Caenorhabditis elegans: one gene and its partners. The protein of the gene in region 3 purifies or fractionates together with the protein of the main gene of each other region. This does not show direct contact. Each region holds a gene or a part of one and is shown on either strand. Other genes may lie near its edges.

What was found.
Region 1: the proteins of C48B6.2 (region 3) and rpb-11 fractionate together in Caenorhabditis elegans (co-fractionation; one large-scale study listed by BioGRID). This does not show direct contact.
Region 2: the proteins of C48B6.2 (region 3) and mppa-1 fractionate together in Caenorhabditis elegans (co-fractionation; one large-scale study listed by BioGRID). This does not show direct contact.
Region 4: the proteins of C48B6.2 (region 3) and Y75B8A.7 fractionate together in Caenorhabditis elegans (co-fractionation; one large-scale study listed by BioGRID). This does not show direct contact.

The regions. Positions count from the first base shown.
Region 1 is NC_003280.10:14,057,154-14,063,392, reverse strand, and holds rpb-11 (putative DNA-directed RNA polymerase II subunit RPB11), read right to left. Parts: upstream 3,309-6,239; 5' UTR 3,304-3,308; coding exon 3,229-3,303; intron 3,181-3,228; coding exon 3,116-3,180; intron 3,061-3,115; coding exon 2,832-3,060; 3' UTR 2,769-2,831; downstream 1-2,768. Other genes in the region: W01G7.4 (putative RNA polymerase II nuclear localization protein SLC7A6OS), read right to left, coding at 915-984, 1,844-1,944, 2,018-2,308, 2,361-2,654. UniProt on the Caenorhabditis elegans protein: DNA-dependent RNA polymerase catalyzes the transcription of DNA into RNA using the four ribonucleoside triphosphates as substrates. Component of RNA polymerase II which synthesizes mRNA precursors and many functional non-coding RNAs.
Region 2 is NC_003279.8:1,747,011-1,755,195, forward strand, and holds the start of mppa-1 (Mitochondrial-processing peptidase subunit alpha), read right to left. Parts: upstream 4,046-8,185; coding exon 3,725-4,045; intron 1,686-3,724; coding exon 1,277-1,685; intron 1-1,276. Other genes in the region: Y71G12B.10 (hydroxymethylglutaryl-CoA lyase), read left to right, coding at 4,483-4,575, 4,637-4,849, 5,594-5,927, 6,989-7,305. UniProt on the Caenorhabditis elegans protein: Substrate recognition and binding subunit of the essential mitochondrial processing protease (MPP), which cleaves the mitochondrial sequence off newly imported precursors proteins.
Region 3 is NC_003279.8:6,915,172-6,921,403, reverse strand, and holds C48B6.2 (U3 small nucleolar ribonucleoprotein imp3), read right to left. Parts: upstream 4,639-6,232; 5' UTR 4,621-4,638; coding exon 4,517-4,620; intron 4,470-4,516; coding exon 4,415-4,469; intron 4,359-4,414; coding exon 4,221-4,358; intron 4,173-4,220; coding exon 3,918-4,172; 3' UTR 3,843-3,917; downstream 1-3,842. Other genes in the region: bbs-9 (Protein pthb1 homolog), read left to right, coding at 1-23, 197-383, 434-563, 613-700, 1,089-1,247, 1,289-1,436, 1,717-1,815, 1,868-1,999 and 6 more; haps-1 (Essential protein Yae1 N-terminal domain-containing protein), read right to left, coding at 5,444-5,530, 5,623-5,727, 5,832-6,062, 6,148-6,232. UniProt on the Caenorhabditis elegans protein: Component of the U3 small nucleolar ribonucleoprotein. Required for the early cleavages at sites A0, A1 and A2 during 18S ribosomal pre-RNA processing.
Region 4 is NC_003281.10:12,149,397-12,160,302, reverse strand, and holds Y75B8A.7 (U3 small nucleolar ribonucleoprotein MPP10), read right to left. Parts: upstream 7,405-10,906; 5' UTR 7,389-7,404; coding exon 7,318-7,388; intron 7,249-7,317; coding exon 7,068-7,248; intron 6,201-7,067; coding exon 5,766-6,200; intron 4,614-5,765; coding exon 4,456-4,613; intron 3,248-4,455; coding exon 2,898-3,247; intron 1,458-2,897; coding exon 706-1,457; 3' UTR 48-705; downstream 1-47.

The DNA of each region.
Region 1 (6,239 bases), on a different chromosome or scaffold from region 3:
AGGAAATCGTCAATTTTCGAAGGTTGTGAAATTTGAACCAAATGCGGCGGGAAATGTCAGTGGAGCGCGCTTGCGAGGAGGCGGTGCGGGATGAACACCACCATGGACGCAAAAACTACAGAATATCTCACCGGAAATTAAGATTTACTTCTAAAAAACTAAACTTTTAAAAAAGAAATTGTTATTTTAATTTTTAATAAAACCAAAATAAACCTAAAATGTGCTAAAACAAAAAACTTTGCCTGCGGATTCTGTTTCTTCAAAAACTTCGTGGTGTCGCAAGTTCGTGGTGTCTCTCGAAAATAAATTCTGATATTCGGAATTTCCGCGGAGGAAATCCTCTGCGAGTCTCGATTTTTCAGGTTTTTCCTTGAATATTCAGGGTAAATTCATCAAATTTTTAAAAAAATCGATAAATTTTGCTCAGTAAAATTGAGTAAAAACCTTTTATTGAATGAAAAATTTTTAAAAATTACAACAAAAAAAATTATTTAAGCTCAGTGCAGTTGCCCGATGAGCTGAAAGCCAAGTAATTCAGCTTTGCAATGCTATGAATCAGCCTGGAAGATTCGATTTCTCGTGATTTCGGTCGTTTTCTGAAATTTCTTTGTGCTTTCCGAGGTATTTCTCGATTTCTCACGTTGTACCGACGCCTGAGAAACTTGAAAAACGACGCAAAGGAACTTGAAAAAGTTCTCAATATTGTGAAAAACGTCGCGTTTTCCGCTTTCCGAAGAAGCTTCAACAAGCAGAAAAAAGGCGAGAAATAGCACAAATAAGGTCTTCATGATACGAATTTCAGAGTTGTGAATGAATGAATGAAAATGAATGAAAAATTGAAAATATGTGTGTGTGTGAGTTACTGATAAGTAAGCTTGAACACTGAAAAAACAAAAAAAAGGCGAAAAACAGTATTAATCGGCGTCTTCGTCAGTCTCGTCACCCTCATAAAATGCTTCGTAGCGTTCGTCGTTCAGGTCCATGCTGAAAAATGATAGAATTTTCAGAATTTCCATCTAAAAATTGAAAACCGCCACATTTTATCACCAAAAAGTTGTACTTTTCAGAATTTTTCAGGTTGAAATAGCTAATTTTCAAGTTTTTAATAATTAAATTGATGAAAATTACTTGAAAGTTAGTAAAAATAAGCGATTTTAGTCGGAATTTTCAAAAAATTGGAGGAAAACCGGGGTTTTGTGGCCGAATTTTCAAACTTTCACATGTAAATTTTCAATTTTTAGCATCAAAATTGGCAAAATCAGTTGAAATTTGCGCAATTTAATGGAAAAACTAGATCAAAACCGCATTATTTCCAGAGAAATGAGCTATTTTAGTGGGAAAATTGAATTTTTAGCCGATTTTTAAGAAATTGACAGGGAGAAATAGCTAATTTCAACTAAAAATTTTCAGGTTTCAACCACAAATTCACTACATTTAGCTGAAATTTGAGAACTTTAATGGAAAAACTACATCAAAGCCGCATTTTTTCCAGAGAAATGAGCGATTTTAGTGGAGAAATAGGATTTTTAGAGACGATTTTCCAGAAATTTACAGTGAAAAATAGATAATTTCAGCTAAATTTTCAGGTTTCAACTACAAATTATGGAAAAATACATCAAAGCCGCTTTTTTTTCCAGAGAAATGAGCAATTTTAACCGGAATTTTCGAGTTTTTCGCAAAAAAAAAAAAGGAAAATAGAATTTTTAGCCGATTTTTCAGAAATTTACGAGGAAAAATAGCTAAATTCAATACTTTTAGCTAAAATTTAAGCATTTTTGTGAAAATTGCCTCAATTTCCAGGTTTTAAGCCGTAATTTCAGCGCAATAATCCAATTTTACACACTTTTGAAGCCGTCTGTGGAAGCTTTCGTCGGAGTATGCCTCCTCGCCGGCGTGCCAATGGTCGGGCTCCGATATTCCGTACGGATCCCCATTGTCGCTGTCCTGAAAATCAACATTTTCATCTGGGGATTTGAAGATTTTCAATGGAAAATTCACAGAATTCAGCAGCTCCAACCTCATCATAGGATTCCTCATCGGGATAGTCATTCCGCCAGTTATCCTCATCATTCGAATCGTCTTCATCATCAGCCGGCGGCCCATCGGAGTCATCTTCGTCGCCCAAATCCAGCTCATCACGCTTGGCGAACCGAAAATCGGCTCCCTCGATGTCCTGCTCCAGGTTTCCCACTACTTCTGGGTTGCCCCGTTTCTCGTGTATCGCGTAGTAGTCGTATACGACGTCGTCACTGCTGCCGGCGGCGGCGCCGCCGCCGTCGGTGACGGGCTGTAGTAGGCGGCCGTTGAGCTGGAAATACAATTTTTGCGCGCTCCACGGGCTCCGTGAGCTCAGCGCTCACCGAAACTTGCTCCGCCGGCTTTTTAACGTTCTTCTCGACCTCTCCAACGAGCCCGACGGCTTCATCCTTCACAAATCCTAGTGGATTTTCCTCGTCAGCCAACTCCATCCCATGTTCCTGAGTTGGAAGATCCAGCACACGGGCTCCATTGAGCTCCAGATCGTTGCCGGCGGCCTTGTAAAGCGTGAAAACCAGCGGATTGCCGCCGTGTTTTGCACGTTTGGTGTGCAGAATCAGAGCATCGTGGGGATCTGCGGTTCGCTTCCGGCTCACACGGATTAGTGGCGCGGTCATCTGAGGGAAATTGAGGGAAATGGGGGCGCTTTTGGGGGAATTTTAGTGTTTCAAAAAATAAAAAATGGGCAAAAACCCAGAAAATTCGAGAAAAAAAACGCAGAAAAAAGCGAAAAAAGCGTAATTTAAAATTTATAAAAGTTCAGAGTAAGAGATCAGTAAGGAAAAAGTGAAAAATCAGTTATATCCACGCTCCTGGTCGCCGGATTGAGTGCACTTTTTGATGGCCGCGTCGATTCGATGCTCGAGCAACGAGAGTTCTCCCACCAAATCGGTTATGGCCGTTGTGAGAGCATCAGCTGGCGTCGTATTGTTGGTTGTCTGGATTCGGAGCAAGATCTTGTGCTCCAACGGGTGAGGGTTCTTGTAGCCGGCGAACAGCACCTCTGGGTCCTTGAGAAGTTGGCTGGAAATTTGAGGAATTAAATCGAAAATCTTCGAAATTATGCGGGTTTTCTAACATTTTCAGCATATTTCCCAGCGTGTGATCCTCCTTCATGATTGTGAAGATCGCCGCATTTGGAACCTAGGAAAATTAATTTTATCATTTCGTTTTGAGTATCATTTTTCTCACCTTTGTGTCTTTTTCAATGTAGAATTTCTTGTCGTCGAGAAGCAAAAATGATTCGAAAGCAGCTGGCGCATTCATTTTTGCTGAAAATTTAGAAAATTGAATATGAAATCCAAAGAAAAATTAAAAAATAGTTTTAAAATTAAAATAATTCAAACTTCGAAAATCAAAGATAGCGCAAGGATGACTGCTAGCGCATTCTCGGTGCCCTTGACGCAATTCTCGTTTTGCGCGGTGATTCAAATGTGAATTCCCGATGATTGCACCAAACTCCGCACAAAATGGACTATTTGCTATTTCCGCGAAATCAAAAAAGCAATGTCATTAAATCTGAGAAGCAAGAAGCAATAGTCGGAGCGTTCTCTGTCTCCTTCACAAATTTTTCCCCCGATTTTCAATGTTTGTATACGTTTTCGTGCAATATATACTTTATCTATTTGTTTGTGAAGTTTTGGCTTCTGGAGGGATAGTGAGTTAGGGTTAGTGTAGGGATATAGTCGAGCTACTGTAGTGGTACAATAGTGGTACGGTAGGAATACTGTAGGGTTACGGTAGTTTCATAAAAAATTAATTTTCAGCCCCAGAAGTCGGGGGCCGCGCCGGAGGTGCGGTCCACGGCTGGTTAATTATATATTAATTGTATTTCAAGCTCAGAATTTCTAAAGTACAATAGAGCGCGCTTGCAAATTTGGCCAAAAAATTTAACATTCACAGAGAAAATATGGCCATTATAAGACTAGTTTAAAAAAAGAAAAAAGAGTTTTTTAGAAGTTTGCAGTTTTTTTCAACATGAGGTAGCAATCGCGCTCGGCCGCACAACTGCAGTTGCAGCTGTCCCCTCATAAAAAAGCGTCTTCAAATGTTTCTTTAAAGTATCATTTGAATGGGGGACAAAAAACGAGGAGAACCCCGACAAAAATCAACAAACCAAATGAAAAATATTTAGTCTGACCAGGTGGTGGCTCGCCGAGCCCTAAAAATAGTGCGCACTTGTCAATAAAATTGTAGGTTTAGACAGTTTCATTTATAGAGAGCTTACCCGGAAGTTGAAAGTCGGTATTTTGGGCGAAAAAAGTTCAAAGGCTACATTCAAAAATTTGAATTCCCGCGCGATCAGAGGTAGGCAGTAGGCGTCGCTGATTGGTTCCCCGAGTTTTGGTGTGTTTTTGCTAGAATCGTTGCGTTTTTTACCATAAAAATTTGAGGAGTTGAACTAGTTTGGTAGGCAGGCGCGTGGGCAGGCAGGCGCGTAGGCAGGCGCGTAGGCAGGCAGTCATTTTCTGAGCCTACCTGCTAGTCTAAACGGTAGGCAATTCAGACGCAAAACACAAACAAACCATTTGAACAAAAGCAAAAAAACCGCGACTCCCCCCTTAGTACTCTAAAAATAGTACCGGCCAAGTACACATAGTAACTAAATATAGAATCAGCTACTACTCTCGATTAAGTTGACACACACACACACACACGCACACGATTGATATAACCCATTCCTCAGCCTTAAAATACTTTGACTAACCAGTTTGGTGACCATTTCTCGTACTGGTTTCCTTCAAAATTTATAGTTTTTTTGGTGAAAAAATTACTATAGGAGTACTGTAGGATTACTGTAGTATTGGAAAAAATGAGTTTTTGTTTTTTTAAGGGACATTGGTTTGGGGTTGGTAGAGGGATACGGTCAAGGTACTGTAGTAGTACTGTAGAGGTACTATTGGAGTACTGTAATGGTACCGTAGAAGTACTGTAGGATTACTGTATTTTTGTAGATCCTGTTTTTCATTTTTGAAGGGAAATTGGGTTCGGGTAAGTGGAAGTTAGTGCTAGGGTACAGTAGTGGTACAGTTCGGTACCGTAGGGCATTGTAGGATTACTATGGGAGTACGTAGTGGTACTGTAGGAGTACTGTAGGATTACTGTAGTTTTGGAAAAAACGAGTCTTTGTTTTTTGAAGGGATATCGGTTTAGGGTTGGTAGGGGGATACGGTCAGAGTACTGTAGCAGTATTGTAGAGAAACTATAGGGGTACTGTAATGGTACCGTAGGGGTACTGTATTGTAGAGGTACTACAGGAGTACTGTAGGATTACTGTAGTTATAGAAAAATTGACTTTTCGTCTTTTGAAAGGGTATTGGTTTGTGGTTTGTAGAGGGATACGGTCCGGGTATTGTAGTAGTACTGTAGAGGTACTAAAGTCGTATTGTAATAACACTGTAGTAATATTGTAGGGTTACTGTGGTAGTGTTGAAGGGGTACTATAGGGGTACTGTAGTAATACTGTAGTGGTGATGTATAGATACTGTAGGAGCGCTGTAGTGGTACTGTAATTCTGGGAAAATATAGTGTTTTCCTTTTTCTAGAATTCCAACATTTTGGAAACTTTGTGGAAACTTTTTTAAAAAAATCGAGAAAAATAGGGAAAATTTTGAAAATTTTTAAAGAATTCTAGAAAATTCTGGAAAAGTCTGAAAAAATTTGAAAAGCTTCAAAAACTTCAGAAATTAATTCTGGAAAGTTCTAGAAATTTCTAGAAACTTGCCAAAGTTTTGAAAAACTTGCAGAATTGTGTCCCAACTTTAAGACAGTATATCTCGGTTGTCTTTGACATTACCAAAAATTTACCAATTAACAATACACACGTAATAATGTGTTCTTTAACTTTGTAGGTTAACTTTTTTCGATATCTCTGAAACCTAGCGAGTTGTAAAGTCAGAAGTCACCAAAGGATGCCTTCAAGGAGAATAGACCACAGCTACTTTTCTGCTGTTTTGTAATAAAAAGACCTTCTACTTTTCAGAGAGAAAGTGTAAAACTGGATATAGTTTTGCAGATGATATGCCCTCACGGGGGGCGAAATCGAAATTAGACCTCACTTTGTATGTTTTGTTTTGAAGAATTCTGTATAGTATTTAATTTGGATTTGGTTTTGGACTTGTCGATGCACGTGTACTGTAGGATTACTGTAGTTTTGAAAAACATGAATTTTCGTTTTTTGAAAAGGTATTGGCTTGGTGCTC
Region 2 (8,185 bases), 5.2 Mb from region 3:
GGAGTACTGTAGGATTACTGTAGTTTTGGAAAAAAAAATTGATTTTTCTCTTTTGGAGGGATATGGGTTTCCGGTTGGTCGGGGGATAAGGTCGGGGTACTGTAGTAGTACTGTAGAGGTACTGTAGGATTACTGTAGTTTTGGAAAAAAAAATGGTTTTTTGTCTTCTGAAGAGGTTTTGTATTTTGGTTGGTGTAGGGATATGGTCGGGGTACTGTAGGGGTACTGTAGGGGACCTGTAGGGGTACTGTAGGAGTACTGTAGGATTACTGTAGTTTTGGAAAAAAAAATTGATTTTTCTCTTTTGGAGGGATATGGGTTTCCGGTTGGTCGGGGGATAAGGTCGGGGTACTGTAGTAGTACTGTAGGATTACTGTAGTTTTGGAAAAAAAAGAAGATTTTTTGTCTTCTGAAGCGGTTTTGTTTTTTGGTTCGGTAGAGGGATATCGTCGGGGCACTGTAGGGGTACTGTAGAGCTACTATAAGAGTACTGTAGGATTACTGTAGTTTTGGAAAAAAATTGATTTTTCTCTTTTGGAGGGATATGGGTTTCCGGTTAGTCGGGGGATAAGGTCGGGGTACTGTAGTAGTACTGTAGTAGTACTGTAGAGGTACTGTAGAGCTACTATAAGAGTACTGTAGGATTACTGTAGTTTTGGAAAAAATTGATTTTTCTCTTTTGGAGGGATATAGCTTTCCGGTTAGTCGGGGAATATGGTCGGGGTACTGTAGGGGTAACGTAGAGGTACTGTAGGAGTAGCTTTGGAAAAATTGATTTTTTGTCTTTTGAAGAGATATTGGTTTCGGTTCAGTGTAGGGATATGGTCGGGGTACTGTGGTAGTACTGTAAAGGTACTGTAGAATTACTGTAGTTTTGGAAAAAAAGACTTTTCGTCTTTTGAATGGATTTTGGCTTGGGTTCAGTGGAGGGATATGGTGGGGGTACTGTAGGAGTACTGTAGGATTATTGTAGTTTTGGAAAAAGTTGATTTTTTGTCTTTTGAAGCGGTTTTGTTTTTTGGTTAGTGGAGGGATATGGTCGGGGTACTGTAGGATTACTGTAAGTCAAGTACTGTAACTTTAAGGTTTTTACAGTACTTGTAAGGTACTGTAAGAATTTTTTAATTATAAAATTTTCCGAAAAGGTTTTTTTTTTGAAAAAGCTCAATTTTTCCATATTTTCTCTAATTTTCAACGGTTTTTTTTGTACATTTTTTTTGCGATTTTTCAACAAAAAAAAATCGAAACCTCTCCTCGTGAAGTACAACACAATTACCTCCAACAACCATTCTTTGAGGAGTATGAGCTCTGCTCAAAAACCCATAAACATCAGAAACTCGAATTTTATCCATCGAATTGTTGCCAAATTTCGGATATCCTATAGTATTATTCTGAAAAGCCGCTTGATGAATCCAGTCAGTAAGGAGAATTTCGATGGCTTCAATTCGATTCGGTAGATCTTGATTCTCGTAGGAAACTGTTAGTTTCGCCTGTTCGAGACTTTGTTCGTCAAAAATTGGCTTCCAAATAGTGTCGGATAGTACGTGAATTACAGAATCCACTCCGTCACGATGGCAGCTCGCCGCGTACATCATTGTGTCACGTGTACTCTGACAATCCACAATTCCACTGTTTTCCTCGAGTTTTGCAAAGACTTCGTCGCGGCTTGAGAACGATTCCGATGACTGGAAATTTTGCAATTTTTTTTGGGAAAAATTAGTTTTAACAAATTTTCGAGTTTCAAAAAAAAACTATTTTGGAAATTTTTAAAATTAAAAAAAACCTTACAATTAAAGGAGGACTAACGGTTCGGACGATTTTGAACGTATAGACCCAAAATGTTCTCAAATGAACGAATTTCGTGATGAAACTGCTCAAAAATTTTTCAAAAATTTTTTATGGCGGTTCAAAATTTCGAAAAAATTACACTGATTTTAGCTAAAATCTCGAATTTTGCCTATTTTTCGGTGTCACATCGGTCCGAAGTTGACTTTTTCGGAATTATCATCCTTTATTGCATATATTGGTAGTTTATCTCATTTAATTTTGTTGATTAAGGTACAATTAAAGCCGATCGGTAACCAATTTCGACGATTTTTGGTCACCTATCGGCTTTAAATGTACCTTAATCAACAAAATTAAATGAGATAAACTACCAATATATGCAATAAAGGATGATAATTCCGAAAAAGTCAACTTCGGACTGATGTGACACCGAAAAATAGGCAAAATTCGAGATTTTAGCTAAAATCAGTGTAATTTTTTCGAAATTTTGAACCGCCATAAAAAATTTTATCCGTTAGTCCACCTTTAAGTTATTCTTGAAACTATATATATATGATATATACTATGTATACTGGATATATAGTATGTATATATATTATGTATATAACGAATTTTTCCTAAACTACCGTAACCCTACAGTACTCCTACCGTACCACTATTGTACTACTACAGTAACCCGACTATATATGTTTCAAGAATTTCTTAATTGTAAGGGTTTTTTTTTGAAACATTTCAATTTTTCCGTATTTTCAGATATTTTCTCATGGATATATATATATATATATTTATTTATTTTTGTGAAAAATTAGTTTTTTATTGGAAATTTTTGGTTTGTGGGGGCAAATTTGGCTCTGTAGGGTTTTTTTTTCGAAAAAATTACAAAACTTGAGTTTTCTCGGGTCATTTTTGGATTAATTTTTACCCCCGTTCTCCAAAAAACAAAAACACCCAAAAAATGCGTAGAAATTCAAAATTTTCTTTTCAAAAAATTAAACTTCAAAAACAGAAATTTGCAACAAAAATTTTAGAAAAAAATAGGAATTTCTACTGAAAAAACTAAATTTTCCAAAAAAATAACTTTTAAAAAACTTGGTTGAGTAGCGAAATCTGTGGAAATATTTTTAATTTACTCCAAATTTTCCCCTGATTCCGAATATCTATGTGAAAAAAATTAAAATTCAAAAAAATTCCCCTGATTTTATATTGAAGCTTGAAATCGCCGAATTTCATTTGTACTTCGAAAACACTTTTTTAAATTCGCGCCCAAAAATATTCGCATGGAGCGCGCTTTGATTTTCTTCATTTGAATATTTTCTTCATTTTTCGCCGAGTTCAGTTTTTTTAAAAACCAGTTTCATTAATTTTTGTCGAATCTGTATCGGTTTTTCTAAGAAAAAATATTTTTCGACAAAAATTAATGAAACTGGTTTTTAAAAAAACTGAACTCGGCGAAAAATAAATAAATTATTTAAATGAAGACAATCAAAGCGCGCTCCAATGCGAATATTTTTGGGCGCGAATTTAAAAAAAGTGTTTCCGAGGTACAAATGAAATTCGGCGATTTCAAGCTTAAATATAAAATCAGGGAAATTTTTTTGAATTTTTTCACATTGATATTCGGAATCAGGGGAAAATTTGGAGTCAATTAAAAATATTTCCACAGATTTTGGTACTCAACCAAGTTTTTAAAAAGTTATTTTTTTGAAAATTTAGCTTTTTCAGTAGAAATTCCTGTTTTTTTTTAAATTTTTGTTGCAAATTTCTGTTTTAAGTTTGTTTTTTAACGTATTTTTTGAGTTTTATTGGTTTTTGGAGAACGGGTAAAAATTAATCCGAAACTGGCCCGAGAAAACTCAAATTTCGTCATTTTTTCCCGATTTGCATCATATTTTTCTCTAATTTTTCCAATTTTCCATAATTTTTCCTATCAAAAGCCTACATTATAAGCAAGTTTCTCCACAATTCTCGAAATTCCAAACGGAAAACCATTTTCATAGCGGCAGCCGCTCTCAATCGCGACGCCAACAGTCACAAAATCGCCGTAAGTGTCTTCTGTGCAAACTTTCAGGCCGTTCGGAAGTCTAGTAACCCTCGAGTTTCTTCCCATTGGCGGGCATCCTTTTTCTATTGATTTGGAGTTGTTTTCCATTGGCAGAGGCACGGAGAGCGGGAGTTTCTGCGCAATTTCCTTGTTATTTCGGACGGAAGCGCTTATATCTCGGCATATTTTGATGTAGGGGATGCTTTTCCGAAGGAGCATCTGAAAATTTAATGTATTTTTGATAAATTTCGAGTAAAAAACTGAAAAAATCGAGAAAAATAAATAAAAAATGATTAAATAAATAAATGTGTGCAATTTGTCGTCAAATGTGGTGTGCGGTGTTTGCGGACTTTTGGGATTCGAATAAAAATTATTTATTTTTTATCTATTTTTTATGTTTTTCTTTGATTTTTCTTTGATTTTTAGCTGAAATTATTGGATTTTTATTGATTTTTATTGTTTAAACGATAAATATTGATACTTTACAGTAAAAAACCGCAGAAAATATCGAAAAATCTCAATAATTTTTTTCTTTTAGTTTCTCATTGTTTCCATCAGTTTTTAGGAGCAATTCATATGTTTTCTTCTGCTTTACCGCTCGAATTTTAATGTTTATGGAGAAAACCTTATTTTTATATTTTTAGGCGCGCTAAAAAATGCTGCCCAATCGCCTACTGGCCAACCGTGCCTACTCCACAGCAATAAATCGATTTCGTGTGGTGGAAGTTGGCGCGCGAGACGGTTTACAGGTAATTTATCCTGGAAAATTGCAAAATAATTGCAAAAAATCCATTATTTTCTTAATTTCAGGCCGAAAAGAAGTTCGTTCCCACCGAAATCAAGGTCGAGCTCATCGATCGGCTCTCAGAGTGCGGATTTCAAACGGTAGAGACGACAAGCTTCGTCTCACCGAAATGGGTGCCCCAGTTGGCTGATCACAACGAAATTGTCAAGAAACATCGGAGATTTGAAGGTGTCTCCTACCCGGTTCTGGTTCCAAACGCCGCTGGCCTCAAAAACGCGGTATTTTATTGATTTTTTAGGGCTTAAAGGTGGAGTAGCGCTAGTGGGGATGACCGAATATCATAGTAAAAAAATTCAAAAAATTTTTCTAAATTTTATATGATTTTTTGAAAATTGAAAAAATCTCAGTTTTTGCCTAATTCCTATTTGAATTTCCGCCAATTGGATTTGTTCGATGGAGCGCGCTTGCACGTTTTTAAATTTATTTATTTTTGTTATTTTCCACCAATTTTTAATGTTTTCGGTGTATTTTTGCTCGAATTTTAGAGAAAAAGCCAAGATAAATGCAAATTTTCGATTAAAAAGCACGCTGACAGGCGTAAAAATGACAAAGTAACGCTTTTAAATGATTTCGAACCTGAATTAATTAATTTCACTGATTTACGCCTGTCAGCGTGCTTTTTAATCGAAAATTTGAATTTATCTTGGCTTTTTCTCTAAAATTCGAGCAAAAATACACTGAAAACATTAAAAATCGGTGGAAAATAACAAAAAATAAAATAAATAAATTTAAAAACGTGCAAGCGCGCTCCATCGAACAAATCCAATTGGCGGAAATTCAAATAGGAATTAGGCAAAAACTGAGATTTTTTCAATTTTCAAAAAATCATATAAAATTTTGAAATTTTTTTAAAAATTTTTAATCATGATATTCGGTCATTGTGGTACCATAGGCATGTTTTAAAGCAATTTCCCCACTAGCGCTACTCCACCTTTAAAATTGCAAATTTCTCAAGTTTCCAGCTCGCAACAGGAGTCGTCGAAGAGATTGCCGTATTTGGAGCAGCTTCAGACGCGTTTTCACTGAAAAATGTGAATTCCAATGTGGAAGATAGTCTGAAAAAGCTCATGGAAGTCACAAAAATCGCCCTCGAGAACAATATTCGAGTACGTGGCTACGTTTCAGTCGTCGTTGGATGCCCGTATCAGGGAGCTGTACAGCCGGAAATGGTGGCCAGAGTCGCCGAGAAGCTTCTAGAATCTGGGTGTTATGAGGTCTCGCTGGGCGACACTATTGGCGTTGGAACAGTGAAAACTGTGTCGAAAATGCTGGATACGGTGCTGAAAAGTGTGCCAGGTAGCGGATTTTTTTAAATATTTTATATTAAAATTTCGATTTTTCGAGTGAAAAACTACAAAAAAAGTAGTTTCCCGCAGTTTTCCCGGCTTTTTTCGCATGAAAACCAATCGATTTCAGTCAAATAACTCACGAAACGATAAAAATCTCAATTTTCGTTGCGAGACCCACAATCTGTGGAGAAATTGACCGAATATCGTGATAAAAAAATTCAAAATTTTTTTCTAGACTATATGATTTTTTTTTGAAAATTGAAAAATCTCAGTTTTTACATAATTATATTTGAATTTTCGCCTATTGGATTTGACCGATGGAGCGCGCTTGCATTATTTTAATCAATTAATTTTATTTATTCTCATTATTCGACTGATTTTCTTCTTTTCTGTTTTTTTTTTGTTGGAAAATGAAAGAAATAAAAAAGACAGATGCAAAATTTTTGTTAAAAAATAACTGAAAATGCCTTAAACTGTAATTTTTTTTGAATTCTGACGACGACAAACCTGAAATTAGTATATTTCACAGTTTTACAAAATATATTTTTATTTATAAAACTGTAAAATATACTAATTTCAGGCTTGCCGTCGTCAGAATTCAAAAAAAATACAGTTTTAGGCATTTTCAGTTACTTTTTAACAAACATTTTGCATATGTCTTTTTTATTTCTTTCATTTTCCAACAAAAAAAAACAGAAGAAATGAAGAAATTCAGTCGAATAATGAGAATAAATAAAATTAATTAATTCCAATAATGCAAGCGCGCTCCATCGGTCAAATCCGATTGGCGGTAATTCAAATAGGAATTAGGGGAAAACTGAGATTTTTTCAATTATCAAAAAAAAATCTTATAAAATCTAGAAAAAATTTTTTGAATTTTTTTATCATGATATTCGGTCAATTTCCCCACAGATTGTGGGTCTCGCAGCGAAAATTGAGATTTTTATCGTTTTTTGAGTTATTTCAATGAAAAATCGATTGATTTTCAGGCGAAAAAAGTCGGGAAAACTGTGAAAAAAAATTATTTTCGAAAGAAAAAAAAATTTCAAAAAATCACCACCATTTCAGCCGAAAAACTCGCAGTTCATTTCCACGACACATACGGTCAAGCTCTCGCAAATGTGCTCATTTCCATCGAAAAAGGCATCCGAAGTGCGGATTCAAGTATCGCAGGGCTCGGTGGTTGCCCATATGCGAAAGGAGCAACTGGAAATCTTGCAACTGAAGATTTATTGTATTTTTTGAAAGGAAACGGTTTTGAAACTGGTGTCAATTTGGACAAAGTTGTCGAAACTGCAAAATGGTTTAATGAAGCCGCCGGATATGATAAATGGTCGAGAGTTGGAGCTGCAATGATGGCTAAAAAGAGCAAAAGCTGCTGCTGAAAATGTGTGCTGTAAAAAATTTAAAAAAATTTTTAAAAATTCGTGTAAAAATTACCCCGGTTGTTTAGGAAATAATAAAGAGATTAGAGACTTTTTTCAGATTTTTATTTTCTTGAGTTTTGCCGGTTTTCAGCCGATTTCTATCTTTTTTTTCTCATTTTTTGTGATTTTTTTTCGCTAGTTTTCCCCTCAATTTCTCGATTTTTTCACGATTTTTTGAAAATTTTCGGAAAATTGAATTGTTTGCAAAAAAAAAAATTCAAAAACCGCATTTTTCTCAGAATTTTTCTGGGATTTTGTACAAATTTTTGAATTATTTCTCAAAAAAAAGCAGGTTTTTACCGATTTTTTTGGTTTTTTCCCCAAAATTTTCCGATTTTTTCCGAGTTTTGCCGGTTTTCAGCCGAATTCTACTCTCGATTTTTTTACGATTTTTTGGAAATTTTCGGAAAATTATTTGAAAAAAAATCAAAAAACCGCATTTTTTTTTCTGAATTTTCTGGGATTTTGTACGAAATTTTGAAATTTTTCTCGAAAAAAGCAAGTTATTCCCCAAAATTTTCTGATTTTCCCCCAAAAATTTAGATTTTTCCCGAGTTTTCCCCAGTTCTCAGCTGATTTCTATATTTTTTTCTCAATTTTTGTGATTTTTTGTTGCTAGTTTTCCCTTCAATTCCTCGAGTTTTTCACGATTTTTTGGAGATTTTCGAAAAATTGTTTGAAAAAAATCAAGAAACCACATTTTTCTCTGGATTTTCTCGAAATTTGCACAAAATTTTTGAATTTTTTCGTAAAAAAAAACTGTTTTCCCCAAAAATTTCAGATTTGTTTTTGATTTTTTTCGAGATTTTCCCCTGATTTCAAAGTTTTTTCCTGAATT
Region 3 (6,232 bases):
GTGGATCGCAGAAAAAGATTAATGTAAGCTGTGGACTATTGAATATTTTTCGAATGTCCAATATCATCGGGAAACTAAAAAGTATTGAGTTAATTACAAATAATAAACCCAAGCTGTCGAATTTTGATAACGCTGAACATTTTTTCAAATATGCTGACTTTACACTGACAGTAAATTTGAGTCTTCTTTTTTTCAGTATGACTGGTCTTTTAATCTGGGTGATACTGCAATACAAATGAAAGTAACCGAAGGATCTAAACCAACAACCATTGTATTATGCCGCCGACACGTGTCTGCATTTAATGCAACTGGATCAGTTGTCTGGCAGATTCGTTTAGAAGCTGTTGGAATGGCAATGTGTCTTTATAGATCACTTCTGATTAGTAAGATTTCATATATTTTCAAACTTTTATTAATGTTTACTCTCAATCAGATAACACTCAATTCAATCGTTTAATAGTTTCAACATCTGACGATACATTGCTAATATTTCAAGATAATAAACTTGTATGGAACTGTAATGCTCAAATGTCACCAGTTGCACTATTAGTTTGCTCTTATAAGTTAGTTTTTGACATTTCTAGAATTAAAATAAGAATTTTAATATTTCAGCAAATCCTATGAGAATACCATTACAATGATGGCACCAGACGGTAAAGTTGTGGTTGGATATCTTGGAACCGAGCCAAATTTATATAGGGTGAGATTTTTTTTTGTATAGATGTGATATAGGGCCATTTATAATTTAAAATTATCAAGTATCAGGATAAATCATTTTTAGCTTTCGAAAATTATAGTTTTGGCAAAATGCCAAATTTTTGGAATATAAGAATCATACTTAAACTTTTTTTTTAATGTTTTACTTTCATTTTTGACTGTTTAAGAGTGGTCTTTAACAATTCTCACACTGGCGCTGCACAATCTTTTCTAATATGTATTCAGCTTTATCTTCGTTCAAATATTAATAGAATTAGACTTAAGATATAATATTCGAAATTAGTGTCAACTAGAAGTAATTTTAACAGATACAGTAGACCTATGGTAATTGAAACAAATCGGTCACTATTTTTATCGCAAAAAAATTACAGTTACCCGAGGACAAAGTGATAGTAAATTACGCGGAACGAATGGAAGAATATAAGAGAATGGAGCAAAAAATCAAGGAATCAGATGCAGCCGGTGGAGCTATCAAAAGAAAAGAAGGAATTCAAATGAAGCTGAGCATTGGAGAAATTGGTAAACGAACTGTAAGTTTGTTCATTGGAACATTATTCAAATATTAATTTAGATTGAGCCAAATGCTGCAAGCAATGCACCATACTGCAACCTTATTGTAGAATTCTCAGAAGTTCAAAATGTTTCTAAACTTCACATCAATATTCTATCGGAATGTGCTTCTCCATCCAAACAAGTAATTCTTAATGTGGGGACTTCAAGTAAGTTTTTATCATAAACTTTCGGTCTGGAACAAATTCGTTTATAACAATGTTCTACATTGAACTCTTGTTCCTAAGAACAAAAACAGTTATGGTAAATTTAAAAATTGAAAAAAAGTATTGGAAACGTTGATAGTGGAAAAATCTAAAAACATATAAAGTTGTAATTTTTGTTGCATAAATTTAATACTTTTCGAATCTACAGAAAGCGCAACTCAATTCAACATTTATTGAAAAAATTATTTTGTTCTGAAACTCTAATAATCCATTTACCTTTCAGAGTCCACTGCATCTATTGAAATTCCATTTTACGTCGGATCCAAAAAATCTCCAACTAGCAATAAAGTCACTATTGCAGCACATTGCGCATTCACCCAATGTAATTTCAGATTACTAACCGAATTAAAATAGTTCAATAACTTTATTTTTAGTAACAGTCACCAAATCAATCGATTTGCCATTCAAAGTATTGTTTGAGGAATCACAAATTGATAGAAATGCAAAATATAAAGTGACAATTGATACAGCTGGATCGGTTATGCCACTGAATAAATTATTTTCTGGTGAGCTATTTTTCCTTCATTCTGACAAAAGGCATAACTATTGTAATATAGAAAATTAATTAACATGTGCCAAGCAACTAACTTTTTTTGGAATACTTGTAGGACAAACGTTTTCAAAGTTATTTAAAATTTTTGAAGTGTTTATTAATGATATTAACGATGCTAGTATATAATGGACTATTATGAGTGATTTTCCAAAAATACCAGCGCTAACTAACGATAGTTTTGAGTGTTTAAGGTGCGATGTTTATAGAACTCAAATCTTAACAATGATTTTTAGAGTTCGAATCTGAAAATCCACAAGCAATTGGATTTTCTCTTCATGGCTCTGATAAGACAGTTTCAGTGTTTGCAGCCAACAAGTCAAGTAAGTTTCTTCCATTTCAATAAAGCATAGACAGGTATGCCTACGTACTTACCTTAAGCTTGCCTGCCCGAAGCCTATTTTATTAAATTTTTGGAATTTGGAATTTGTTCGATATTCCTTGTGCCCAGATGGAAAGCGTTAATTTGAAACTTCGAAGTACGAGGAGAATGAAATATTTCCAGATCGTTACCGTATTCAATCAGAACATATTTCATTATTACAAATAACATCAAGGGAATTGGTAAAACGAATTGCTGAATCAGCGCCGGGAATTGAAATTGGAGGAGTTATTCCATTTGAGTACATGAGAGAAACATTGGATGAAATTCAAGAGGTATTAAAGTTTTTTTAAGTAGAAGAAAAAATAATATCCTTCAAAAAATATTACAGCTTCAAACGAAGAAAAAGGAAGATTCAAAGAAAATTGACTGTCGAACAAAAGAAGTTCGAGCAATTGAAGCATTATCTTTGAATTCGTGTAAAACTGGAAATATGGGAAATTTGCCTTCTTTGGATGCACTGTTTGATAAATCATATAGAGAAGTAATGGAAATCGTGAATAATTTGAAATTAATTTATGGGAGTTTTGCAGCTTCTCGATGCAATGGATAGTTACAATAGTTTAACTGCAAAAATTGAAAATCAAAAGGCTTCATTGAGTAAGTAGTAAGTAGGTTGTTCTTAGTTGTCTCACGAGAACTTTTCAGACTCATTATTCCAATTGGCAGCAGATTTGTCAAAACTTTCAAAAGTGGATACTATTTTAAATGGATCTTTCTGGGCAAATACTCAACAGGTAACTTTTTTATATTTAGTTTAAGTTTAATAAAGAAACCGACAAAACTAACCAACAAATGTGCAGAGCTTATCCTGCTTAAAAATTATATAAACATTGTAAACTCAAAATAAATGATAAATGCCGAGAAAATCAAAAAAAGACTGTAACGAAAATAACTTTATTCAAAGAACGAGTATATTAAAGTCGATTAAAATTGTTACAAAGCAGAACCCAGAATGCCACAGTGGTATGGTGTAAACTCTTTTGAGCAATAGATGTCTAATCGCGCCGAGACCTGGTACCGTACTTTTTCGTCAAATCTTTTTTACAACTGTATAATAACTAATTTTTTATTAATTAAAGTCTCTACGAGATCGCCTTCGATGGGCTGTGAAAACAGATCGTGGAAATGAAATGACAATGATTGAGAAACTATGTGAACACTCGCCAAAGGAATTACCAAAAATTAGAGAAGAAGAGGAAGAGGAAGAGCAACAAGTGACAGCTTAATTAATTTAAAGAAGAACATATTTAAGTAATTTAATGAAGATTTCTATTTTTATAGTTTTTCTATTAAACATGAATTCATTTTCATGTCGACTTCAAGCTCTACATTTCGCTGCGAGACCCGCCTTTTTGAATGAAATTTCAAAAGCTTTTGTAAGTTTGTGAATATTTTTATACATTTTAGAATTCAATAACATCTGAAAATGTTTATTGATAACAACGAGAACAACAACAGCAACAAATCAAAATTTAAAAACAAACAAAAATTAATCCATGAGATCGAAATCGTCTCGAGTATTATTATAATCCATGACGTGTTTCTTGATTTTCGAAGCTTTCGTCCATGTGATCATATCTTCAGACGATCGTGTAACCATAAATGCTGGATCGGTAACCAGTTTCGTTCCGATTCGAACGTGTCCCTGCTCCACGAGATCTGACGCAGTTTTGACTGATTCACACATTCCAATATTTCTCATCACGACTGGAAGACGACGACGAGCGAATGATGCTCCAGTCACCTAAAAATGTTTTATTTTGTGTAATTAAAATCGAAACAGGACAAAAACCTTTCCAATTCTTTCCAACGTATCACTAGTGGGCACAAGTCCAGCTGCGTAAAATTTGGTGAGCATATCCTCTGTGCATTTTGATCGGAAGGGATCCGATTCTGATAGGTTTTTGATAAGATCAGCTACTTCACGACTCTGGAAAATTTTCAAGATTAGAAATATTTATTTTTATCCGATTTTTGAACTGTAACCTTTGCAGCCAAAGTGTTGTACAAAGCGTAGTGCTCTCTTTTTTTCACATAGAATCTAAAAAATAAATATAAAACTCCAGAGCTATTATCATTTACACCAACTTTCTGAGCATATCTCCTTGTTTTCCTTGCTGATCGACTTGCCATGACATAAAGTCAGTCTTTTTAAGCAGCTTTTGCTCATGGGTTTTCAGTTTTCGCACCATTTTGTCGGGGTTTTTTGTCTGAAAGTCATATATTCTAACAAATAAGAAAAAAACTAAACTTTGAAGACGCTTATTTGACTAAATGTAGAATTATAAAGACAAGAATTCAATAAAATTATTTCCGTTTGGGTGAATTTAACAAGTATTCGGCTTGTGAACCATTTAAACCTGATTGCAAAAAATATAAAAATCAGAAATTTCATAGCTTCATTACAATTGGGAGGATTAATGAGAAACAACACTAGAAAAGAGAATAATATTGCATTAATGAAGACAGGAAAAATCGGAAATGGCGGTTTATTTACAAAATGATCGACGGTTGAAATCTACACAGAGAATGAAACCCTGAAACTTGCTAGAACTTGTAATAAGAAACAATTTAAAATTTCGCGAAAAAGAGAAGATCACTCCGAGTAAAGTATTCAAAAGTTTGAAAATCAACTGGAAATTCGAGAATTAAAGAGTATTTTGGAGGAGAGGGGAAGCGAGAGAGAAGAGAAAACCAGTACAGAAGTAAAAAAATCTGAGTAAAATTGAATTTGGGGTCAAAATTTATTTCCTTATTTTTGAAAACGAAAGCATTTTCAGGTTAGATAATAGATTTCTACTTATGCATTAGTACCATGAGATTCAAAAGACCCGATGCTTTCGAAATTTCCAAAAACAAGTAATAATAGCAGTGATTAAAAGGGATTTTCAGTCATTTTTGAGTTTTTAAGACCGGTGTCAAAGGCAACGTTTTTCAGTTTTCTTCTACTAGAAAAGAAGGGAAATTCTAATAAAAGAGATTGGAAAGTGAGAATTATGAGGATTTTTGAGAGATTTAAAGACGTCGTTGACGTTTCATTTGTGACGTTGGAGATGTCGTTGAGTTATTTGGTGATCGCTGACGTTTTCGGTGGCGTTGAACCTTTAAAAAAATAAGTGTGAAGCAGGAATTTTTACTTTTTTTGTCGTTTTTTTTGTATGTATTTTTCAAAGTTATAGATAAAATATGCTCACCTGACTAGCGAGAAACTCGTCCAAAGTGTCTGTCGTCTGTTCTCTAGTTGTCGGTGGCAATAGGCTCAATGTGCTCAGCGGTGGGACTTGCGGCTGGTTCAGTGCCTGAAAAACAAAAAAATAAATGAGAACCTCAACATAAAACTTTTCTTCGATTTTTCAGGGGTTTAAACAATATGTTAGATTTCAAAGCAAAAAAAAATGCTAACCTGCTGAAAAAGTTCAACCGCCGCTAAGGTGTCGGATGAGATTCCGTTTTGAGTATTGACGGTAAGTCGTTCCTCTCGCGGAATTGCCATATTTCTGTATAATACTTCGAGAACTATGTTCATATCAATTTTGGATGGATCTCGAAATGCTTGTAATATTTCCTTGGCAATACTCGTACAACCCGATGAAAATCCCTTCTCAAATCCTCGACGATAACTGTCAGTAGATGTCTGAAATTAAATTCATTTAAATTTTCTATTCGATTTAGAATTTTTTATATTAATCGATTTTCATGAAATTAAACAATTTCCTTACTTTGTACAACTGCGTGGTTCCCTCTGCAGCGCCTCTGAAATTTCTCCAAGAGGAGTCCGAATAGAGACGAGCCACAGCTTGAGCA
Region 4 (10,906 bases), on a different chromosome or scaffold from region 3:
TTAAAAAAAAAAAAAAACAACAAGAATAACGCGGTGTAACAATGAAAAAATATTACGGGGAACACAAAATTTTGAGAATGCGTATCGCACAACATATTTGACGCGCAAAATATCTCGTAGCGGCGAAATGACTACTGTGGTGTCGATTTACGGGATCTCGATTTTCGAAATGAATTTATTTTATATGCAAAAAATACTATTAAAAGTATAGTTATCGATCCTTGAATTTTGCAAAAAAAAAAAATTATTCTGTCGCACAGAAAGTAGGGCGGAGCGTCCACTGTTTTTTTTTGTTGATTTTTTCAATAAAGTTTCGATTTTACTATTATTTTATTTTTCTCTTTATCCAAAAAAAAAAGAAAGAAAAAGACTAGAAACTTCGAGAAAAAAAACAGTGGAAAAGGGGCGGAGACAAACCCCGTGCGGCAGCTACGCTCCGCCCTACATTCTGTGCGACAGAATAATTTTTTTTTTTGCAAAATTCAAGAATCGATAACTATACTTTTAATAGTATTTTTTTTGCATATAAAATAAATTCATTTTCGAAAATCGAGATCCCGTAAATCGACACTACAGTAGTCATTTCGCCGCTACGAGATATTTTGCGCGTCAAACATGATGCACAATTTTGAATTTTGTGTTTCAGTAATAGAAAAATAGAAAAATAAAAACAAAAAACAAAAAAAAAAACAAAATAATCGATTACTAAAGCTTAATAGCAGCCGAATTCTTATCACTCTTCAATCTCTTCACAATCTTCTTCTTCTTCTTCGTCACCGCTCCATCCTTCTTCTCAGCAGCCACCGTCTCCTGAAGCTTCGCAAAGAAGTTCGAGCTCTTAATCTTATCCACCCCGCCGCCCTTCTCCTTCCCAGCCTTCCTCTCCTTCTTGGCCAGCTTCACCGCCTTCTGCTCTCCGAAAACTCGCTCCTCGCCAAACTTTTCCAGCATCGACCTCTGCTTAGCCTTCTTCTGCCGACGTTCTCGTGCCTTATCAGTCGCGTCTCTCTCATCCTTGCTCTTTTCAATCGCCTTCATCTTCTTCGAAATCTCCTCTGGAGCCATAAGCTGAGCCTCCGTTGAAGCTGTAATTCCGACTTCTTCCACACGTAGAGCAGCCATATTTGAGACCACTTTCACCTCCTCGCGAGCTTGATCCGGTTTATACTCGAAATGAGTTAGCGCATCAATTAGCCGGAAGAGATCTCCCATCTTCGATTTTATAGCTTCATGAGCTTCATTCGGCTTCGTGGCTCCTGCTGCTCCATCTGCAGAATTTCCAGTCGAATTTTGATATTCCTTCTCATAAACCTCAGCCAAGGAAGTTTTCTGATTCATTTGATTCTCGATGGCTTCAGTTTCGAATTTGGCGCCTTTCGCTTCGACTTTTTTCACTCGAATCACATCATCCCAGGCTTTATCACGAATTCGTTGCTTGATAAGTGACTCGAGGCGGTCTGGAAAAAAACTCTATTTTTGCCTATTTTATGGCTGAAATTAAAAAAAAAAAAAAAAAAACGGAATTTTTAAGCTAAAATCTCGAAAATTTCCAATTTTTCCATGTCATATCAGCTATTTTTTGCCTATTTTATATTTGAAATTTAGAAAAAAATAAAATTTTGCGCATCGCACAGAAAAAGAGGCAGTTTTCGTCTTAAAATTTGAAAAAAAAAACGGCATTTTTAAGCTAAAGCCTCGAAATTTGCGAAAAAAATACTATTTTTTGCATATTTTATGGTTGAAATTTTACGAGCAATCCGTCGTGAATCAGCATCGCACAGAAAAATAGGCGAAGCCCCTAATTTTGCAACCCTGCGGCACGGTTTTAATTTTTTTAAATCAATTTTTGAATTTAATTATGTTATTTTCTTTTTCGAATGAAAATGCTATTATGAGGATATTAAAATTAACACCGGTCAAAAAAGGAGGAAAAACCGTGCGGCAAGGTTGCGAAATTAGGCTCCGCCTCTTTTTCTGTGCGACGGTTTCAAATCTCAAATTTCGCCAATTTTTCCGTGTTACGGAGGCTCTCTTTGCCTATTTTATGGTTGAAATTTGGCGATTTCCATTCGTAAATTTTACAAAAAGCAGCATTGTCGCACAGAAAATAGGCGGAGCCTAATTTCGCAACCCTGTGGCACGGTTTTCATTTTTTAAATCAATTTTTGAATTTAATTGTTTTATTTTCGTTTTTCGAAAGAAAATAAAACAAGTAAAATCGAAACTTCATTGGAAAAAAACCAACAAAAAGAAAGAGGAAAAACCGTGCGGCAAGGTTGCGAAATTAGGCTCCGCCTCTTTTTCTGTGTTAATTTTAATACAATTTTAATAAATTTGTTTATAAAATTTTTGCAACTTTTCAAAAAACTAATTTCCTGCCGAAAAAATTGTTTTATTCAAAACTTTGAAAAGAAAAAAATCGTGATTTTTCAATTTTCGAACTCCCCGACCAATCAGCACCTTCAAACTCCGCCCACTCCATCTGATTGGGCCAAAAATGGGCGGAGCAAATCGCTGATTGGTCGCAGTTTCAAAAGTTGGATTTTTTCGATTTTTTTGATAAAAAATCGCAAAATGACAACTCCCCGACCAATCAGCACCTTCAAACTCCGCCCACTCCATCTGATTGGTCCAAAAATGGGCGGAGCTAATCGCTGATTGGTCGCAGTTTCAAAAGTTGGATTTTCCCGATTTTTTTTGATAAAAAATCGCAAAATGACAACTCCCCGACCAATCATCACCTTCAAACTCCGCCCACTCCATCTGATTGGTCCAAAAATGGGCTGAGCTAATCGCTGATTGGTCGCAGTTTCAAAAAGTGAGATTTTCCCGATTTTTTTCGCTTTTCCCATAGTTTTTCTTCTAAAATTTCCAATTTCCAGCCATCATCAGCGTACCTGTAAACTCTTCGGTAACCTCTGGAGCACGTTTTGCTCCATGATCAAAATCCACATGCTTCTCCAGCAGGGTATTCTGATCTCTCTGATCGGCGGCAACCTCTCCGGAGAGCTCCCACGATTTTGGAGCCAAATTCTCCTCCTCAAGCTTAGCGATTCGTTCCTTCATCTTGGACTGACGCTTGGCAAACGCCGATTCTTCCTTCGGCTCTTCGAGGTCGGCTCCGAGGAGCACTGGCTCATCCTCTGGGGGCTCTTCTTCATCATTAATGTCTTCTTGCTCCTCGTCTTCAACTTCTTCTTCTTCAGGTTCCTCATCCATTGCGAAACGAACGCGTTTTTTGTTCTTTCTGGAAGAACATTTTTGAATTGAATTTTTCGCTTTAAAAATTTATTAAAAAATAGTCCTAAATTCGGAAAAATCACAAAAAAGGCGATTTTTTAAATTTGGATTTTAAAATTTCAAATTCCCCCCAAAATGAAAACTCCCCGACCAATCAGCGCCTTCAAACTCCGCCCACACACCCTGATTGGTGCAAAAGTGGGCGGAGCAAATCGCTGATTGGTCGTAGTTTCAGAAAGTTGGATTTTTCCGAGTTTTGCGAAAAATTCGCAAAATTAGCATTTCGACCAATCAGCTCCTTCAAACTCCTCCCACACACCCTGATTGGTGCAAAAAAGGGCGGAACAAATCGCTGATTGGTCGCAGACGGAATTTGATCAAAATTGGAAAAATCACGTTTTTAAAAATCGATTTTTTCACTTTTGTTTGGATTCCCCCAAAATGAAAACTCCCCGGCCAATCAGTGTCGTCGAACTCCGCCCACTTCGTCTGATTGGTCCAGAGATGGGCGGAGCGAGTCGCTGATTGGTCGATGAGTTCTCATTTGGAGGGAATTCAAAACATCGCGTTTTGCAACTTTTTTCGCAATTTTTTCGGCGTTCCTAGAAAAAAGATTGAAAATTGGGATTTTTAAATTTTTTTCACTTATTTTCGGCAATTTTACAATTTTGTCATGTTGCACCATGTGCTTCCAACGATTTTCATTGAAAAATAGTGTCAAATTGTAGAAAATCACTAAATTTATCCGGAAAATTACATTTATTTCAGCTAGAAAATTCGAAAAATATTTTTTGATTTTTTCAGCTGAAATAAACGTGATTTTTCGGATAAATTTAGTGATTTTCTACATTTTTACAGTATTTTTGGAGAAAAACGAAAAAAAAAATCGCAAAATAATGAAAAATCCATCAATTTTGGCGAAAAAAAAGTGAAAAAAAAATTTCAAATTTCCAAAAATTTAGAAATTTCTAAATATTTTCGGAAATTGCTGAATTTCTACATTTTTTGAAAACTAAAAAACGCAGATTTTCAATATTTTGGCCGAATTTTTTTCAAAATGAGACCGCGACCAATCAGCGATTCGCTCCGCCCACTTTCCAACCAATCAGGTGGAGTGGGCGGAGTTGAAGACGCTGATTGGTTGGGGGATTTTCTCGTTTTTTTCTGTGGTTTTCCGTTTTTTTCTCCAATTCCTCCAAACTACAAACTACAAACCCATCATCAAGTGATAAATCAGCTTTATCTCCAGCCTTCCGTTTCTTATCTTTTTCAATTTTTTTCTTCTCTCCATTCATTTTTTCGGTTTCAGCAACTGTCTCACGAGATCCAAAAAAGTCCTCATACGTGTAGTCGGTTTTTCCGTCCCAGCTATCCTGAAATTATTATTTTTTTTTTTTTTTAATTGAAATTTTGAAAAAAACACACACACACACACATTTTCTTAGGGAATTTTCATCGAGATTAATATATTATGGCAGCGAGGCGGTTTTTGAAAACTGAGGTGCAATCGCGCTCCATCGCTAATTGGCCTATTGGGTCTCGTTTGGAACAAGAAAATATGAAGTTTCCAACAACAAAAAATTGTGCAAAACCACAATTTGCCGATTTGCCGGAACTTTTCAATTCTGGCAATTTGCCGATTTGCCCAAAATTTTCATTTTCGGCAAATTGGCGGAAATTTCACAATTCCGCCAATTTACCGGTTTGCCGGATATTTAACAATTCCGGCGATTTGTCGATATGCCGGAACTTTTCAATTCTGGCAATTTACGATTTACCGGACATTTTGCAATTCCGGCAATTTGCCGATTTGCTGGAAATTTCAATTCCGGCAATTTACCGGTTTGCCGGATATTTAACAATTCCGGCAATTTGACAATTTGCCGGAACTTTTCAATTCTGGCAATTTGCCGATTTGCCCAAAATTTTCATTTTCGGCAAATTGGCGGAAATTTCACAAATCAGGCAATATGCCGATTTGCTGGAAATTTTCAATTCCGGCAAGTTGCCAATTTGCCGGAAATTTTAAAATTCCGGCAATTTGTCGATTTGCTGGAAATTTCAATTCCGGCAATTTACCGGTTTGCCGGATATTTAACAATTCCGGCAACTTGACAATTTGCCGGAACTTTCCAATTCTGGCAATTTGCCGATTTGGCCAAAATTTTCATTTTCGGCAATTGCCAATTTGCTGGAAATTTCCAATTATGCCGATTTGCCGGAAATTATCGATTCCGGCAATTTGCCGATTTGCCGGAAATTATCGATTCCGGCAATTTACCAATTTGCCGAAAATTTAACAATTCCGGCAATACTTGTGTTGTGTTGGCGTTGGAGCGCGATTGCACTCTAATTTCGAAATTACGAATTCTGGCCGGGAAAAAGGGGGGCGGAGTTTGCAATTTCTTCGCGCACTTTTTGTGGAAAAAAGTGTGTATTTTTAAAATTGTTTTTGGGCACTTTTTGGCACTTTTCGGCTCATAAAAATCCAAATTTTGCAGATTTTCAGCCATCCAGGTACATACTTCATCCTCAAACATCATTTCCTCATCCTGAGCGGCCTTTTTGCCTCCAGCTCTCTCAGTTTTTTGCAAAAAATCGTGCATCTCGTCAAGATTGAAAAACTGATCGTCCACAATGGATTTCTTGAATTTTTTCGGTTGTTCTGTGGCTTTTTCCACCTCCTCTTTCTCTTCTCCGGCTTCTTCTTCTTCCATTTTCTTCAAATCAGCGTCCAACGTCTTCAGATCACTCTCGCTTAAATTAAAAAGATCGGCTTCATCCTCATCGTCAATCATTTCATCCTCGAGCTCTTCATCTTCCAGCTCTTCCTCATCATCATCGAGCTCCTCTTCGGAGCCGCCATCGGAGCCATCAGAACCATCTTCCGAACCTTCAGAATCCTGAATTTTCGCCGCCACCCGAATATGCGATTTTCCAATCAACTCGGAAAGAAATCCCTGAAATTCGGAGCATTTTCAAGCAATTTTGAGGAAAAAAAAAGTGAAAAAAAACTCCAAAAAATAGCCTGAAATTCAGAAAAAAAAACTCGATTTTTTTCAAAAATTTTCAAAAAAAGTTCAATATTTTTGGAAATTTAGAAATTTTTCGGAAATTGCTAAAAATTTCTAGATTTTTTGAAAATTGTGGAATTTTTAGAAATTTTTTAGGACATTTTTTTCGGGATTTTTAGAAATTTTTTTCAAAAATCCCGAAAATTTAGTTTGAAATTTAAAAACGCAATTTTTTTCAAACTTGTTTGAATTCCCTCCAAAATAAGAATTGCCCGACCAATCAGCGCCTTCAAACTCCGCCCACTTCATTTGATTGGTTCAAAAGTGGGCGGAGCGAATCGCTGATTGGTCGAAGACGGAATTTAACCAAAATTGAAAAATCACGTTTTAAAAATCGATTTTTTAAAATTTTGTTGAATTCCCTTTAAAATAAGGACTGCACGACCAATCAGCGTCTTTGAGCTCCGCCCACTTCATCTGATTGGTTCAAAAATGGACGGAGCGAATCGTTGATTGGTCGGAAACGGAATTTAACCAAAATTCGAAAAAAAAATCGATTTTTTTTCGTTTTTCCTCCGTTTTTTGTACTGAACAATCAGCACCTTCGAACTCCGCCCCTTTCCTCTTATTGGTTCAAAAGTGGGCGGTGCTAATCGCTGATTGGTCGTTCTTCATTTTGGAGGGAATTGGAGGGAATTTCGCCAAAATTGAAAAATAGAACTTTAAAAATCGATTTTTTCGATTTTCTTCTGTGTTTTTTCGGAATTTAAGATTATTTTAGGATTTTTCGAGCAAAATCCCGCGAATAAGCACCTTATATTTCTTATTAATTCCATCTAATTGCTTATTCTGATGCTTCAGATAACTCCAAACGACTTCTTCGTTTTTCGAAACAAATGGAAGTGGAAGATTGTCTTCTGAAGGTTCCAGTGATGTCGACCATTCGTAGACATTCGAAATAACATCGGTTATTTGGTCGGAAAATTTTGATCGACTGAAAAATCAACATTTTATTGATTTTTTAAATTTTTTTTCTATATTTTTTTCGATTAATTATGCCAACCTTTTGAAAAACTTTGTGAAATCCCCGATTTCCGGGATCAAATCCTCCTTTTTTGACTTTGATTTCGTCATTTTTGCAGCGAATTACCTTAAAAATCGATAAATTCCCAAAAAAAAGTTTTACAACTTAAAACCACATAAAATAACGTTAAAAACACGAGAAATCTCAATTTTTACACGAAAATACTGGAAAAATCGTCAAAATAAGTGTAAAAACCAAAAAATTGGTTCAAAATTTCACCGAGAAATGGGAAAACGAGACAGCGGGGGTAAGTGAGAGGGCGAGAGACGACAAGAGTGCCAGAGAGGGGAGAAAAACGAATAATCCCGTTCATATTTGTACTTAGGGCATGGAAAACCTATAAAAGTGTCGGAAAATTGTAGAAAAAAGTGGAAAAATCAGCAGTTTTAAGGTTTTTTGGATTTTTTCTATGTATTGACGGCTTGGCTCCGATTTGAGAGTATTATTTTGGGATTTTCACAGATTTTAGGATTCAATTTAAGTAATTTCAAATTTTTATTAATTTAATCTTGAAAAAATAGCCTTTATCCGCAAGATTTTCGATCAATAAATGTGAAAAAATGGATTAAAAAAGGCGAAAAAAGCCAGAAGTTGAAAAGTGCAAACGCGCCCTGTTGATAAAACAGACAGTATAAAAATAGCGGGAAGTTCAAATTGAAGAATTTCCTTTAAAATGTGAATTTTTCTGAGAAAATTTAGTTTTTAACACAAAATAAAGCGAAATTTTATGAAATTTGTGTTCCCAGCGACTGAAAATATACCGAAATTTAGGATTAAACATGTAATAAACGAGCAAAATTGCCGAAAATTTCCATTTTCGACAAATTGCCGATTTGCCGTTTGCGAAAGTTTTTAAAGAGACTTTTAAAAAGACGGATCCACTTAAAACAAATAATGTTGAAATTCTGAAATTTCCAAAAATGTCAAAACCACAATTTTCTGCAATTGTCGTTTTTTCGGCAAATCGGCAAAATGCAATTTTTAATTCCGGGCAATTTGCGATTTGCCCGAAATTTTAATTTTCGGCAATTGCCAATTTGCCGGAAATTTTCAATTCTGGCAATGTGCCGATTTGCCGGAAATTTTAATTTTCGGAAATTGCCAATTGGCTGGAAATTTTCAACTCCGCCAATTTACCGGAAATTTTCAATTCCGGCAATTTGGCGATTCGCCGATATGCCGGAAAATTTTCAATTCCGGCAGTTTGCCAATTTGGCGGAAATTTTCAATTCCGGCGATTTGCCGATTTGCCAATTTTCCGGAAATTTTCAATTCCGGCAATTTGGCGATTCACCGATATGCCGGAAAATTTTCAATTCCGGCAATTTGCCAATTTAGCGGAAATTTTCAATTGCGGCAATTTGCCGATTTGCCAATTTTCCGGAAATTTTCAATTCCGGCAATTTGCCGATTTGTCAACTTGCCCAAATTTTTCATTTTCAGCAATTGCCGATTTGATGGAAATTTTCAATCCTGGCAATTTGCCGATTTGCCCGAAATTTTCATTTCCGGCAATTGCTGATTTGGTGAAAATTTCTCCAACTCTTCCAAGCTTCAACTTTTTTTTGCAGGAACATTGTTCATCTTCCTTTTCATGTTCGTGTCTTATATTGTTCTGTCCAGAGAGAGAGAGAGTGTCAACACGAAACTGTGTGCCCTGTTTGTATGTCACTATCCACCATCCACTCTATGAAAAAGAAGAAGAAGAAGTCAGGAGTCAAATTACTTTTTCTTGTTTCTCATATCTCAATTCAATTGTCAATTGTCCTGTTGAATATGCTATTGTTATTTGACAAGAAAAACGTGGATATGGTCAAAAATTCACGGATGTGTCTGGCTTCCCTCAGAAATTGAAATGGAAGAGTTTTTGCCGAACTAGGCCAGGCCATATCTGGGGGTAGATTTACGGCGCGTTGCGTGTCGCGTCGCGGCTCGATTGTAAAACTAAATGCACTTGTCCGTGTGGAGTACACGACTTTCCCATGTCCGGAGAGCGATTGTCAATGGAGCGCGAAAAAAATTCAATGAGGACGGCACGGTAGCACAGAAACTAGATGGATTGGTTCATGATACTCAGTCTGAAAACTATATTGGCTGCTATCTCGAAAACTAACCCCAAATTTGATTTTGCGATGCATATGAAAAATGATCGCAAAAAAATTCTCGATCTTTTCTATTAAGAAATTTTTTGATTGAAAATTTCCTAACCGGTCAAATTTGGGTTCGTTCGGTAGAGCGCGTTTGCACTCATCTAGCTGTTGTACCAAGGCCAGAACACCATGAGCATACCGCAAGGATTCTTAATTTTGCAAAATTCATGCCGCTGCATACTAGCATAGTAGCACGTAGTACCAGACTGTCCCATTACGGCTTGATCTACAAAAAATGCGGGAATTTTTTGTTGCCCAAAAAATGTGGCGTCAACACGTTATTAACCATGTGAAATCAGTTGTGAACTCTGTGTATCAACTCCCGCATTTTTTGTAGATCTACGCGGATTAAACCGAAAATGAGACACTCTGACACCAAGCCGACTACCGGAGCAACCGCTGGCGGGCCCGCAGGCCCTCTAGTCTATCGTTAACTTAAATCCTAAATAATTTGGTCCCCAAAACTCGAAAACTCTTTCTCAGATATGATGGAAGGAATTAGAGTATGTGTGTGTGTGTGTGTGTGTGTATGGGACAGTGAAAGGAGAGGCAAAGTTTGCCCCCTATTGTTTCCTCAATATACACTGCCTATTTGCAAAAGGGGAGAGAGGGCCGGGGGGTTTTTGAGCACAGAGAGAGAGAGAGAGAGACGCAGTACTGGTGAGCACCGGAGCACGGTACGCGGGGTGCTCAACTGGTTCGCCGGATTTCTCGGACAGTCACGTGGATCCACGAAGGGTTCAGTCAAAGAGCACCTTGAAATTATGGTAATATTCAAATATATTCAGATTTTAAGGAAAAAACAAACCAAAAACCAGTGATTTTGGATAGAACAACTCTCACCACTACACCAACCACTTCCAGTGTTTACCCAATTGATTTACCCTTCTCAACGTTCTCAATATTTACAACAACTCACCTCAAAGACTGTACTTTTCCTCTTCTTCTCGATCCCTTACCTTCCATCCACTCCCCAATTTTCCCTTGACATCCCCCCTGACTATCTTCTTTTATGAGCAACCTTGAGAATTATGATTCATTGTGAGTAGGACCCCCCACGTACTATTATAACCCACTATTTTCTCAGAGAGACAGAGAGGAAGTGTACCTACTTTTTGGAACCAACCTGTCCATTTTAATGAGAAGTCGGTGTGGGTGACCCTGTGTTGTGCAGAAATTAATTTTAGGATCAATTGTTGTTACATATTATATTGAAGTATTAGATTGTAATAATAAAATATTTTGGAATTTTTTTTTGGAAGTCGTCGATGATTTAGATTTTTCGAAAAATGGAGCAAATTCACTAGTCAGTTTTCCCTATTTTTAGACTCGAAATTGAAAAATTACCACAATTTTTTTCACGTTATGTTATGATATTTAGTCGTTTTATCGTTTTATAAAGGGAAATCAAAATTCTA